Solanum lycopersicum: one gene and its partners. Each later gene encodes a partner of the first gene's protein in a complex. Links are inferred from orthologs where the notes say so. Each region holds a gene or a part of one and is shown in the gene's direction. Other genes may lie near its edges.

Region 1 (4,259 bases):
GACGTCAGTGGTTGTTTTTGTCATCTAGACACATGGGACCTATCTATGTCGAAGTTGTCACTGGTACCTCTTTGATGTGTGTTAAAGCTGGTTTCTGACCTTTTTCTTTTTTCTATTTTGCATGGACAAGATCGATATTTTATCAGTTTCTTGATCATGGAGCTGCGACTCAATGGACATCACTTAGCTTATGTTAATTCTGTTGTAGTTTTAAGAACTTTGAAATGTTGTTAATGCACTTGTATTTGTTGCTTACTTGAATTTCCTTTTGCTTGTGGTAGATTTTGCGTAAAATGTGGTAGGAGGGCTACTTGTTTGTCTGAAGCTACGTGATTTATGAGTCAATTTAGTTCTGAAAGCACTGGTGCATCTGTTGTTATAGGACCTCTAATTCCTTTTGACTTTTTTTCTCTTCCTTTTGTACAGATATTGTCTTTGGGGGATGTGGCCTAGTTGATGAAGTTGGAGTAAACTCCATGGGAGACTAAGGTTCAAATCTTAAATAGAGGCAACACATTTGGGTGATCTCTTCCTTCTGCCTAAACCCTGGTGGTAGAGTTATCCGATACCAACAGTACTGAAAGGATGCAGGTACCTAGCGGAATAGTCAAGGTGCATACGACGACCTAATCATGCTCAGTAAGAAGAGAGCAATAAGCATCTCAAGACGAGATCTCCATAGTGTCAATCACTTGAAGTTTGTGATATCTTGTTTCTCTTTGGGGTTCAGGAAGTGCTGCCAACAATGCTATCACACATTATTAATCAGTCTTGGGACATGAACATCCTAACTCAGTCATATGCATAGCTGGAGATGAGAGTTACTTTATTGTAATGTTGACTAAGATTGTATCCAGTACATGGTGCTGTTGTTGGCCTTTCGATTAAATTAGTTGACAGGTTGAAGGTCTTTTCTATGTATAACAAAACATCCAAATGTTTTTCCTGGTACCTTACGTGGCTTTCTAGTTGCTAATCTCATGTCATATGGTTATAATTTTGTATATGATAGTATCATATGACAGGTGCAAATGGTCAAAATTCAGATAATGGTCCTCTGCATGTTGTCCAACATTCATATATTTGTCGATCAACTAAGTTTTGGTCCCAAATTAGTTGCATCAATCCTTTGATTTTTTCAGATGATTTATAATTACTTGATTCGAACAATACTTAACTAGATTTAAGTAAAGTTTTATTTGTAAATTCAAGCCTAATAATAAAAATGATATAATATAAAGTAATGTTTGATTTAAAATTATGATTTTATTATAATTATTTCGACGTCATTGATCCCTCTTACCGCCAACATTGATAATTTTTACACAGTGAAAACAAAGTCAGACACATTTTTAAATATTTATTTTGCTAAATTTCTTTATCACACCGTTTCCATAAAGATAAAAGAATATATATAAAAATAAATTAATAAATTAAGTAGCAGAATTGTGGAATAAAATAGGGAAAAAAAATCAAAAAATTTAAACCCAGGAAAAACCCCTGGGCACTCTCTCACTGACAGTAGAGTGGATAACGTTTCAAGAACCCAAATTCCATCGATGTATGAATCTTCTTTACTGAAATTCCACTAAATTTTTAGCTCACTCTCAAGAATGGTTTCTTCCACCATTCTAATTCAGCAACCGACGAACTTCTTCCACCAGCCAGAGCTTCACCATCAGGTTAGGCCTTCGCCCCCACAAAACCAAATCATTCAAGAATGAATCTTTTTGCTTTTTGATTTTATGGGTGTTTGATTTTTTAATAATTGAACCAGCTATGGAGAGGTCTGCAGCATGGATGTGTTGCATCATTGCAGAAACAACCTATTTTGGTATGTAATAGTAACAAGAGAAACAGACCTTTGAGAGTTTCTTCAAGTGCTAATGGTGCTGTTACTTCTTCCACTTTGGAGGCCTATGATTCTTCTCCGTCTCCTTCTGCATTTCCTCTTTTTACACCCCCTTCTCAACCCCAAGATACTCCCGCTTCTCAGGTATTTTCTACTTGCCCCTTCTGTTTCATGTTCTTGAAGTTCAAGTTTAGTTTAATCACATCTTGTTACTTTCTGTGTGATAAGTGCTGTTTTCTTTTGGTAAGCTCACTGTATAAGTGCAATATGCAACACTTTTATGTACTCTTTTTTGTAGTTAGAGTTTTGGCACTGCATACCTTTTCCTCTTCAGTCATGGTTTCTTTTACTTTAATAGAATGCCAAACAAACAATGGACAACAATAAGCACTAGTCTCTCAATAAATTGAAGGAAGTGACAGCCAGGCAGTTGATGTTTGGAAAAGATAGGAGTTACACTTTGAAGATCGATGGAATTGTTCTTATGAATTGGTTTTGTTCCTCATTCAGATTTTCTTCACAAATTATTTGGTTCTAGGTCAGGTCCCATATAAATTTTTGGTGATTACTGTGTTAGAAATACAAAATGTTCTACATCAGGTATAGGGGAATCATATACCTAAAGCATTCTCTACTACTCCTTCACTGCATAAATTTTTCTTTAATATGTCGGAATTTCTAACCAATTAGTAAGTCCGTTCTCACACGTGTGAGTCTGCATTGGTTTCAGATATATAGAATGCCTAACATCTGGTGTTTAGGGGCATCCAAAGGGTTATGATGATTTTGAGCTACTCCCCAATTACCTTAAGATTTTCACTTAGATGCTCATGTTCGTTCTCACGTTCTCATGCATAGATATCCCATTTCTATTGTTACATAGTCAAACTAATGGTTGGAATCCCTCTACTTTCTCGGTCTTACATCCTTTGAGAAGCTGATGAACATATATTTTCCTATTTGATTATTTCAAATTATCCTTATTTTCTCCTGTTCTAATTGTTGATGATGGTGGTATAACATTTTCATATGAACAGTTGGAACTGGCAGATCCTGATTTCTACAAAATAGGATATGTTAGAAGTTTTCGAGCCTACGGGATTGAATTCAGGGAGGGACCAGATGGGTATGGAGTGTTTGCTTCCAAAGACGTGGAACCTCTCCGTCGAGCTAGGGTGAGCACTACCTTACAACATGTTTGTATGTACAATGTTTTCCTCCTCCTGATGAAATGTTTAACTATATCAATTACCATCGGAAGCAGTGTCAAATTTACTGCTCCATCAATGTTTTACTATACCAAAAGCTGGACTTCATCCCATCAATTCCACCATGAAATTGGTGGGGGTAGGAAAAAAGGACATGGGAGAATTGTAATACCTTTAAACTACCTTCCTTCTCTCTGAGATAAGTATCTTTAGTTGATTTCCCTCATTTGCTTTTTAACCTTGATAAGTTATATTTGCAGTGGCTAGGCACTACTAATTCTTCTCCTGCTGTGGTGTATTTTATCATGTCCTACATAGTTTTGACTGTCTAATTCATTTGGCATTAGCTTGGCTGTTTGATTGCTCTTTTCGCACTGATTATCTTCACACCTTTTCGTTATCACTAAAATTCAGTGAATCATGAGGTTTTGTTTGTAATGCAGGTAATAATGGAAATTCCTTTAGAACTTATGTTAACCATAAGCAAAAAGCTTCCTTGGATGTTTTTTCCAGATATTATACCTGTAGGACATCCAGTATTCGACATTATCAATTCAACCAATCCCGAGGTAAAAGGATGCATTTTCCTTTTAAATATTTTAATTTTCCTACTAAATATTATTTAATGGAACACATGGGAGAATATTTATCCACATTTTCTTTGATTGGATAAAAATAAAAATTAGACGTCTTACCTTTTCCCTAATGGTACACATGAGAGGATTTGTTTTTATGCTCTAAATTTTTTCATTTTCTTTTTGGTTTTCTAAGATTTCTTGTGACTTTTTAATATTGATTACCTTCTTATGGCAGACAGATTCGGACTTGAGGTTGGCGTGCCTTCTTTTATATGCTTTTGATTGCAAGGACAACTTTTGGCAGCTATACGGAGACTTCTTGCCTAGTGCTGATGAATGCACTAGCTTTCTTCTAGCTACCGAGGTCTGGATATGAGTATCATCCAAATTTCAGTGCATTCAATTAATGTAATATTTTGTGGAAGATTCTATAGAAAATGCTATGCATTCACAAAATTATTCTGCACTTTGTTATGGTGTTCTGCTGAGGTTCAAGTTTGAGTAACTCGAAATGTGAATTAGAAAAGCTTTTGTGATATTCACACTGTTATGTGACCTTTGCTATTAGTGGGTTCTAATTTATAACAAAAGTTTCTTCGACTGAATCTTGTTTTTTTCCAT
Region 2 (4,203 bases), about 1.5 Mb from region 1:
TGTTAATACAAACATAAAAGGGCAAAGCCGTGGTTTGACCACATATTCTATTCAAATTTCAAACATAAAGGATTTTTATCATCTTCGGAGAAGAAAAAATAATAGTACAAGAATTTAATAAACAAAGTGACGGTTCACCTTTGCTATCATAATTGAGTGAAAATAAAATAAAATTGAAAGATGAATTCCTTAGCACCAACCGAGCATCATTAGTTTCCTTGAAAATCCATTGTAAGGCATTTTGACGAATGAAAAGGCTGACTTGGTCCAAAAACAAAATTTCCAACAAGCAAGGCAAGTTCTAAGAAAATAATAGACAAGTCCGTAAGCTCGTCTGACTAGTCTAGAAAACGGGACATAGAAAACTTCCTTATGAATCACACTTTAATTTATGTCATTAACAAGCAATATTTGTGATAGAAGTTGAACTACAGGTAAAACAAAGATGGTACATATAGAGTTTCAAGATTTTCTGCCAATTATGGCGATAAAGCTATGCGGAGAGGGACTGATCAACGAGCTATGCAAAGGTTATCGGATGTTAATGGATGGTGAGAAAGGCGTGATCACAATTGATAGCTTAAAGAGGAACTCTAAGCTGATGGGATTGCAAGATTTTAGTGATGAAGAATTGAAGAACATGATTAGAGAAGGAGATATGAATGGTGATGGAGCTCTTGATAAGATTGAATTTTGTATTTTGATGTTTAGATTGAGTCCTGACTTGTTACTTGTGGCTCAACAATTGTTACATAAAGCTCATCAATAACAAAATAATACTGTCCACCTTAAGTGATACTGTACTACTATTCCTGATTCATCATATTCATATGTAATGTTTCACTTCATTTGTCAATGTTAAACTTTTCTTCTTATCAAGTTAGTTTGCATACTATAATTCAATTAAATTTCACAGAGACGTTATTTTCTACCAAATATAGGTATTGCGTTAATAGCTTTATCCAACAAAGGACAAATAAAAAAAATCACCTACGATATTTTTATCACCCCAGAATTTTCAACCCTCTCCATTAGCCTAGCGGCCAAACTTAAGAACATATTTGGACCAAAAGAGGTATCAGTGAACCAAACTTTAAATGGAGGGTATATCTAAACCTTTTCTAATAGTTTAGGGGTATATTTGACCCTTTTCCCTTTAAAATATAATTGTCAAAATACCAACTTAGCTATATAATAAAACTAATTACTCAACTTTCATTAAATATCCCAAAAATATTCTAGGCCAAAGACCAATAAAAGCTAGGCTAGAAATCACCCTAAACAATTTTTTCCCCTCTCAAGTAAAATAAAAAATAAACCTAAGTTTGGAGCAAAGGTAGGTGTTTTACGAGACAATATTGGGTTATGGTATTCATTTGGATAAAGTTTAGAAATATTTTCGCCTCATGTCATTAAAAATATTTAATATTTTTTATGAAGTTTCAACTTAAAATAAATATTGGCTGTTGTTTTTATTCATTTGCTCTGCCCTCCCATCCTTCAAAATAAAGTTGAAATATTTCTTATAGGATTAGAACAAGTAGGGACTGGACAAACGGAACTTGAGATTTAGCTTCTTCATTCTCAGGTAGTCCTTTGTTGTATTTTTAAGAAAGGTAACAAAGTACTTGCGAACGGATTATTTATTATTGCTATAAACTTTGATTCTATGATTCACTAACCTTTAGCTCTGCTGTTTGCCATTGTTGTAATCATCAAGTTATAAACATAATTAATGCACTGTTGGTTGCACTTGTACTGTATCGACAGTCTGGTAACTTATGCACACAACCTGTTTGATTATTTGCTCATTAGACTTTTATCCTCTATGCTTCAAAATAGGTAACCTTTTAACTGTAGCCAGAAGCAGACTTAGGATGTTAAGCCAGTCCATGTGGAGTACCACCATCTATACTACTATTTAGTGTCGGTGGGTGACAATGCTGACTTAGTTCAATACATTTTTGTAAAAGTGGGCTAGTAGTACTGTGCTCAACAATTCAACATCAATGTTATGGCTTCTACAGTTGACTTTGTTTAACTACATTTTGAATGTTATGCTAGTCTTTTTCTGTTTGTCTTTTAGTTATGTACATAAGAATATGGAGTGGATGTTTTCTATTTTGTGTTTTGTAGAAAGGAGTTTGATAAAATCTGTTCTTAATTTTGATTGGTGTTATCGACAGGTTTTTTATATTAGGAGTTATCCCTAATAGAGATTTTGATTTTCCAGGCGAAGTAGTTAAGCGAGGGAAGATGGTCATCCATTCTGCATTAAATCTTAACTTTTGTGCTATTTCATCACTCTCTGCACTCAAAGCAGGGCAACATTGTAGTTCTTGCTCTTTTTCTAACTTCCTATTGCCGCCTCCTTTGAAACGTTTGACTTGCTTTGCCACTTCAAAAAAGTCTGAAGAGGAACATGTGTCTGATCCTAAGAATAACTCTGGTTCAAGGTCTAGAAAAGCTATAAGGTCCCGGGAAAGTAAAGTAACTCATAACGAAGACAAAGATTCTGCCAAGATCTTCCCATCAACAATCCCTAAAAAGCCAAGGCGTGGTCGCAGGAGCGAAGCAGCTGCAGTTGAGGATTTTGTTCGTGATTCATTAGAAAAGACATTTGCCTCTATCCGAGAGCAGAACTCTGATATGATGAAAGATACCGAGAATATCCTCAAAGATAGGGTTGATGATGACACTGAGTCTGATGAAAGTAGTGATGATGAAGATGACAGCAGTAGGGATAAGAAAGAAAAGAAAATGATCATTGAGGAGGAGGATCCAAATTGGCCTCTGGATGCAGACGTTGGATGGGGAATTAGAGCATCAGAGTATTTTGACAAGCATCCAATAAAAAATGTTATAGGAGAAGATGGAGTTGAGATCGATTGGGAGGGGGAGATTGATGATTGCTGGGTGAAGGAAATCAATTGTCTTGAGTGGGAGAGCTTCGCTTTTCATCCCAGTCCCCTCATTGTACTTGTTTTTGAGAGATACAATCGGCAAGTGGATCTTGTTTTGTTTACAAATTGAAGTCCTAAAGGATATATTCTATAAGCAATATGCAAGTCTTTTATGTTCTCTGAGACAATTGCTAATTGCACAGGGCTAGTGACAACTGGAAAGCTCTTAAGGAGCTGGAGAAAGCAGCCAAGGTGTATTGGAGTGCCAAAGAGCGCTTGCCTCCTCGGGTTTGTGAAACATAATCACTTCTCCTTACATTGTGCATTAGTAAACCCTCTTATCTTACATTTCCCCTAATTACTTGGTGTAGACTGTGAAGATTGACATTAATATTGAGAGGGATCTAGCCTATGCGCTTAAAGTCAAAGAAAGTCCACAGATATTGTTCTTACGAGGAAACAGGATACTATACAGGGAAAAAGGTACTCTTTATATATCCCCTCACTAGTTTGATAAAGTAATTGTAATCTTTTCAGCTAAATTCATTGTTATGTTGAATGATTGTTTACTTTGCAACTCCGGATAAATTTGTGCAGAAATTCGTACAGCTGATGACTTGGTTCAAATGATAGCATATTTTTACTACAATGCGAAAAAACCTTCATGCATTGATGATGCAGCTTTATCTCAACAGTCTTAGTCAACGGAGGTACTGATGCTGACTTGTCTAGGCTTTCATTGAAGCTCATAGATTAATGTCACTAAAAATATTTGAACTTCTAGCACGTCGCAGATTAAGAAAGAGGCAGTGGAGCATGGATCTATCCCTGTATAACTGGAACCAATTGTGGTCGTTTTGTCACTGGAAAACAATTGACCAATTGAGGGCAGAACCTTAGAAGAATGACTGGTTGAAACGAGATCATGGTACTGCTCGCTTGATGCTTGCAGGTGCTGATGTAATTAGCAAGTGGAAGGTTGAAGAAAAAGGTTATATCCTATAATGTGCTTAAATTAGTGCCACATTTATTACTATATAGAAGAGGATAGTTGGAAAGAGAACACTCAGTTGCATGATCTTACTTTAGTTCTATTTGCTTGTTTACATATCATACTAGCCCTAGATGTCTATAAATTACTTTCTGTATTTAATTAGAAAAGTTCATGCATCTTCTGTTACTTGTATCTTGACCTTGCTGGCTATAACTAAATTAGAGTTATTGTTTTCGGGGGAGACGTATGTCACGCTAGGTACGGAACTTTTTTCCATTAATACTAACCTAGATAGATATGAATGGA
Region 3 (3,650 bases), on another chromosome or scaffold:
TATCCAAAGGAGCTACGGTAAAGTTTGTCTTACCTTTCCACCGTCCTAAAGTGATGCCGACCCCATGAGCAATTCCACACACGGGAGTTGGTGGGGCATTGACCGTCTTGAGGCGATTGTTACTTGGAACAATTTTCAGTCCCAATTTCTCTGCCGCCGCCTTGGTCATGATGTTAGCCTCAGCCCCGGAATCTACCATGGCCCGAACTGCTTGCCCATTGATGGAGATATCCATATATTGTGTGCTGAAATCCCCCGGGTTGTCAGCCTGCTTTGCTATGGCACCACAGATTCCAACCATGCCCAATTGAGTGGTGTCTGCCGGTTTCGCCTTGTCTTGTGCCTCCTTTTCCTTCTGCTCACGGACGATGGCACCAAGGCTCTTCATCTCTGGGCACCTAGCGTAACCATGTGGTCCGCCACATATATAGCACCCGTCTCCTCTACTGGACTGCGTCCGCTTCTCCGAGAACTTTCGGCGTTCGAACCGTTTGCCATCGGACTTGGGTGTGTCTTGCTGCTTGGGTTGTGCCGACGGTTCTCTGCCTCGGCCACGGTCTCCCCCACCTTTAGCTTGACTGCCCTTTGCCTCCCTGCCCTTCGCCTTGTCCAAACGATCGTGTTTGAAGTCTGTCAAGGTCTCGGCTTGAGTGATGGCCTCATCGATGGTTTTTACTTGACGCCGCTCTAACTCGGTCCTCGCCCAATTCTGCAGCCCGTCCATGAAGGTGAACAGCATGTCATCTTCCGTGAGTTGGGGAATCTGGAGGGTCAAGATTGTGAACTCCTTCACATAGGCCCTAATACTTCCCGTCTGCTTCAACTCCCGAAGTTTGCGCTTCATCTCATAAACAGCATTGTTGGGGAAGAAAGCTTTCTTGAATTCCTCAAGGAATTGTTCCCATGTGTCGATGGTGCGTGTGCCCCTCTTGATCTCGGCATCTTTGCGTTTCCACCACAACATGGCTACGTCGGAAAGATACAACACGGCAGTGTTGATCTTGCTTGCATCGCTCCTGACCCGATTACACCTGAAATAATTTTCCAAGTGCCATAAGAAATTGCCTACCTCTAGGGCGTCTCGGACACCCTTAAATGTTGGTGGCTTGGGAACCTCGACCCTGGTCTCCCTCTCCTGGCCAAGTGATGCTGTTGCTGCAACCTCCCTCTCTTCTTCGAGGGCTACTACCTTGTTCTTCAGGGTCTGGATCATTGTGGTGGCATCCAACAACCTGAACTCCAAGGAGGTAATGGACTCCTTCAACTCCAATTCAGTCCGCTTGCGTAGATCCAACTCCTTCCGGATGATGTTAACTTCTTCAAGGGAATTTTCTTCAAGGTTTTTAACATCGCTGTCCAAACCATTCAAGCGCTGCCCCAAAATCTCAACAGCAAGTCTTGCCCTCTCAACGCTGGCAATCCATTCATGTCCAACAGTGACGTCTATAACGTCGTCGCTGACGTCGTCTTCACTTTCCACATCTGTATTCTCCTGGAAAGATGTTTGTCCGTCGCCTGGTGGAGGATCATTTGTTGGCAGATCGCTTGATGGTAAACCTCCTGGTGGAACACTGCCTGATGGCAGGTCGCCCGAGGGGACACTGCCGGATGGCAGGTCGCCTGGTGGAAGACTGCCTGCTGGCAGGTCGCCCGGTGGAGGGTTGGGCAGACTGGGTTCATTGCCCTTCTTGTTCTTTCCCTTTTTGTTCTTCTTTCCTCCCTGAACGTTGGGGGTGCCGCCACCGTTTCCTCCGTTCGTCATTTTCCTACGATAAACCAATGCTCTGATACCAACTGTCACGGACTTTTTGATTCGGACTAAGTTCCGTGCGGCACTAGACGGTTTACTCACGACTCTTGCACGTTCTTGCAAACTCTAGTAAGCCTAAAACTCAGATCGCTAAGAAAATAAGAAGTAAGACAGAACTTTGGAAGAAGGAACTTCTATTACTTGAAAATAATTGGATGCTTTACAAGTAAAGTAATCTACTATTTATACTACTCTAATGCTGCCTAAGAGTTAGTAAATAAACTATACAAGTTCCTAAGACTATGCCTACAAGACAAGCTTCTAAGTCTTCCAAAAAGGACTCCTAGATGCTCCTAGTCTGCCCCATGATCTCCACAAGCCTCTCAAAGACTTGTAACTTCTGTAACAGCCGCCCCACTAACTGTTGTAACAGCTGAAACTGCTGCCTCTTCAGCTGCTGCAGGCCTCCTTGGCTGCTGACCTGCGTGGTCAGCCTGCTCCCCTGCGCCTGCTGCGCCTGCTGGCTGCCTCGTTGGGTGGCGTTCGGCCTGAATGGATGGCGGGACGTCACATTAGGCTCACTTACTATATATATTAAGTTAATTACAAATAAATACTTTGAAGAATTTTTTGACTTCAAACTAATCAGTATAATCAAAATTATGGAACTCAAGATAACCTGTAAGTTATGACTCTTGAATTTTCTTTAAGTAATAGTTGAACTCTCAGCAATTCAAAGTACTACATGAACATGGAATTTGTTATGTGTTTTCCAGTCAGTGACTATTGATAGACCCCTCACTCAGGACTTTATCTGTATGTGTACTGTTGGTGGTTGGATTTTAATCTTTGTAAGGATGGAGGATGGAATCTTTAGTTCCAACATCTCTAAGCTTTTATGTGCAAGTGTTTTATGTAGCTTTTCTTAGCTGGTATTCTCTAGGCAAAACATTAACTTCTTACAAGCGCCCATAAGATAAACACAACAGTACTACTCCTTGATAATGGTTAACACAATTGTGACGAGATTGCTTACTTACGGAGAGGGGTATACTGAATTCCACAGTGGTTGACTTGTCATTTATAAAACTTTGTACCTTTATAGATTAGGATTTAAAAACTTCTAGCCTTTCTTATTTCTCTTTCAATATGATGGTGGAAGGGCGAGAAAAGAATCTAATCTTTATCGTTAATGTTTGTTTTGAATCATGCTGAAAACTTGTTAATAGCCTGCTTGTTGTATATTCTAATTTTGGTTTCAGACGAAGAAAGATGAGACATTAGATGCCAAAATGGAAAGGATTCCATTCCTTGAGGAGCAAGTGAGGAAGATAAGGGATGGGGGTAAACTATTGACGATGGACATTCATAGATTATTACTGAACGAGGACAACCGGTTTGATTTTGTCAATGAGATTGCAGCAGAGGCCAAACAGTATGTCGAGAACAACCGAGATGAGTATGGTGCAAAGAAAGCTATCCTTCACGTGCTTAGTAATCGTATGAATGATGCTGGTGTTTATCGCTCAGAAGCATACATGGACTCTGACCCCTTCAAGCCAGGCCCTGGATATTTGAAAGACGAACTACTGTAGATCATTAGTTAGCTATACTTTCTGTATTCATATAGCACTTCTCTAGTATATATATACACTTTCTACTGAGGGATTTAATGCCAAAAGATGAGAGTTAAAAAAATCATAGCACTTCAAAAAAATAAAAAAATACGATCTGTTTCTGCATTTAATTATTCATTGCAAAAAGCAGTACAATATTCTATGCAGATACATTTTCATTTCCATACTAGCTAATTTCCCTTTTTAAGACAGATAACTGGTTTCATTGGGTAAAGCATTATATATACACAAACAAAATTACTAACAGTTTTTGAGTTACTTAA

What was found.
Region 2: protein PLASTID TRANSCRIPTIONALLY ACTIVE 14 (region 1) and thioredoxin-like fold domain-containing protein MRL7, chloroplastic share a complex: the UniProt entries of both Arabidopsis thaliana proteins name them as parts of the transcriptionally active chromosome (TAC) complex. The link is inferred for Solanum lycopersicum from reciprocal best matches to the Arabidopsis thaliana genes PTAC14 and MRL7.
Region 3: protein PLASTID TRANSCRIPTIONALLY ACTIVE 14 (region 1) and protein PLASTID TRANSCRIPTIONALLY ACTIVE 7 share a complex: the UniProt entries of both Arabidopsis thaliana proteins name them as parts of the transcriptionally active chromosome (TAC) complex. The link is inferred for Solanum lycopersicum from reciprocal best matches to the Arabidopsis thaliana genes PTAC14 and PTAC7.

What each region holds. Positions count from the first base shown.
Region 1 is NC_090801.1:61,881,614-61,885,872, reverse strand, and holds the start of protein PLASTID TRANSCRIPTIONALLY ACTIVE 14, read left to right. Parts: upstream 1-1,388; 5' UTR 1,389-1,613; coding exon 1,614-1,682; intron 1,683-1,777; coding exon 1,778-1,996; intron 1,997-2,889; coding exon 2,890-3,027; intron 3,028-3,503; coding exon 3,504-3,629; intron 3,630-3,873; coding exon 3,874-4,002; intron 4,003-4,259. UniProt on the Arabidopsis thaliana protein: Essential for chloroplast development, especially for thylakoid formation. Involved in plastid gene expression, probably by maintaining plastid-encoded RNA polymerase (PEP) activity.
Region 2 is NC_090801.1:60,373,626-60,377,828, forward strand, and holds the start of thioredoxin-like fold domain-containing protein MRL7, chloroplastic, read left to right. Parts: upstream 1-1,378; 5' UTR 1,379-1,588; exon of another isoform or gene 1,589-1,682; coding exon of another isoform or gene 1,683-1,716; exon of another isoform or gene 1,717-2,233; 5' UTR 2,234-2,256; coding exon 2,257-3,002; intron 3,003-3,106; coding exon 3,107-3,191; intron 3,192-3,274; coding exon 3,275-3,386; intron 3,387-3,500; coding exon 3,501-3,604; 3' UTR 3,605-3,613; intron 3,614-3,687; exon of another isoform or gene 3,688-3,697; 3' UTR 3,698-4,203. UniProt on the Arabidopsis thaliana protein: Plays an essential role in early steps of chloroplast development. Involved in the regulation of plastid gene expression. May positively regulate plastid-encoded RNA polymerase (PEP) activity through binding to FSD3 and CITRX/TRXZ.
Region 3 is NC_090802.1:49,579,341-49,582,990, reverse strand, and holds the end of protein PLASTID TRANSCRIPTIONALLY ACTIVE 7, read left to right. Parts: intron 1-3,012; coding exon 3,013-3,345; 3' UTR 3,346-3,497; downstream 3,498-3,650. UniProt on the Arabidopsis thaliana protein: Essential for chloroplast development, especially for thylakoid formation. Involved in plastid gene expression, probably by maintaining plastid-encoded RNA polymerase (PEP) activity.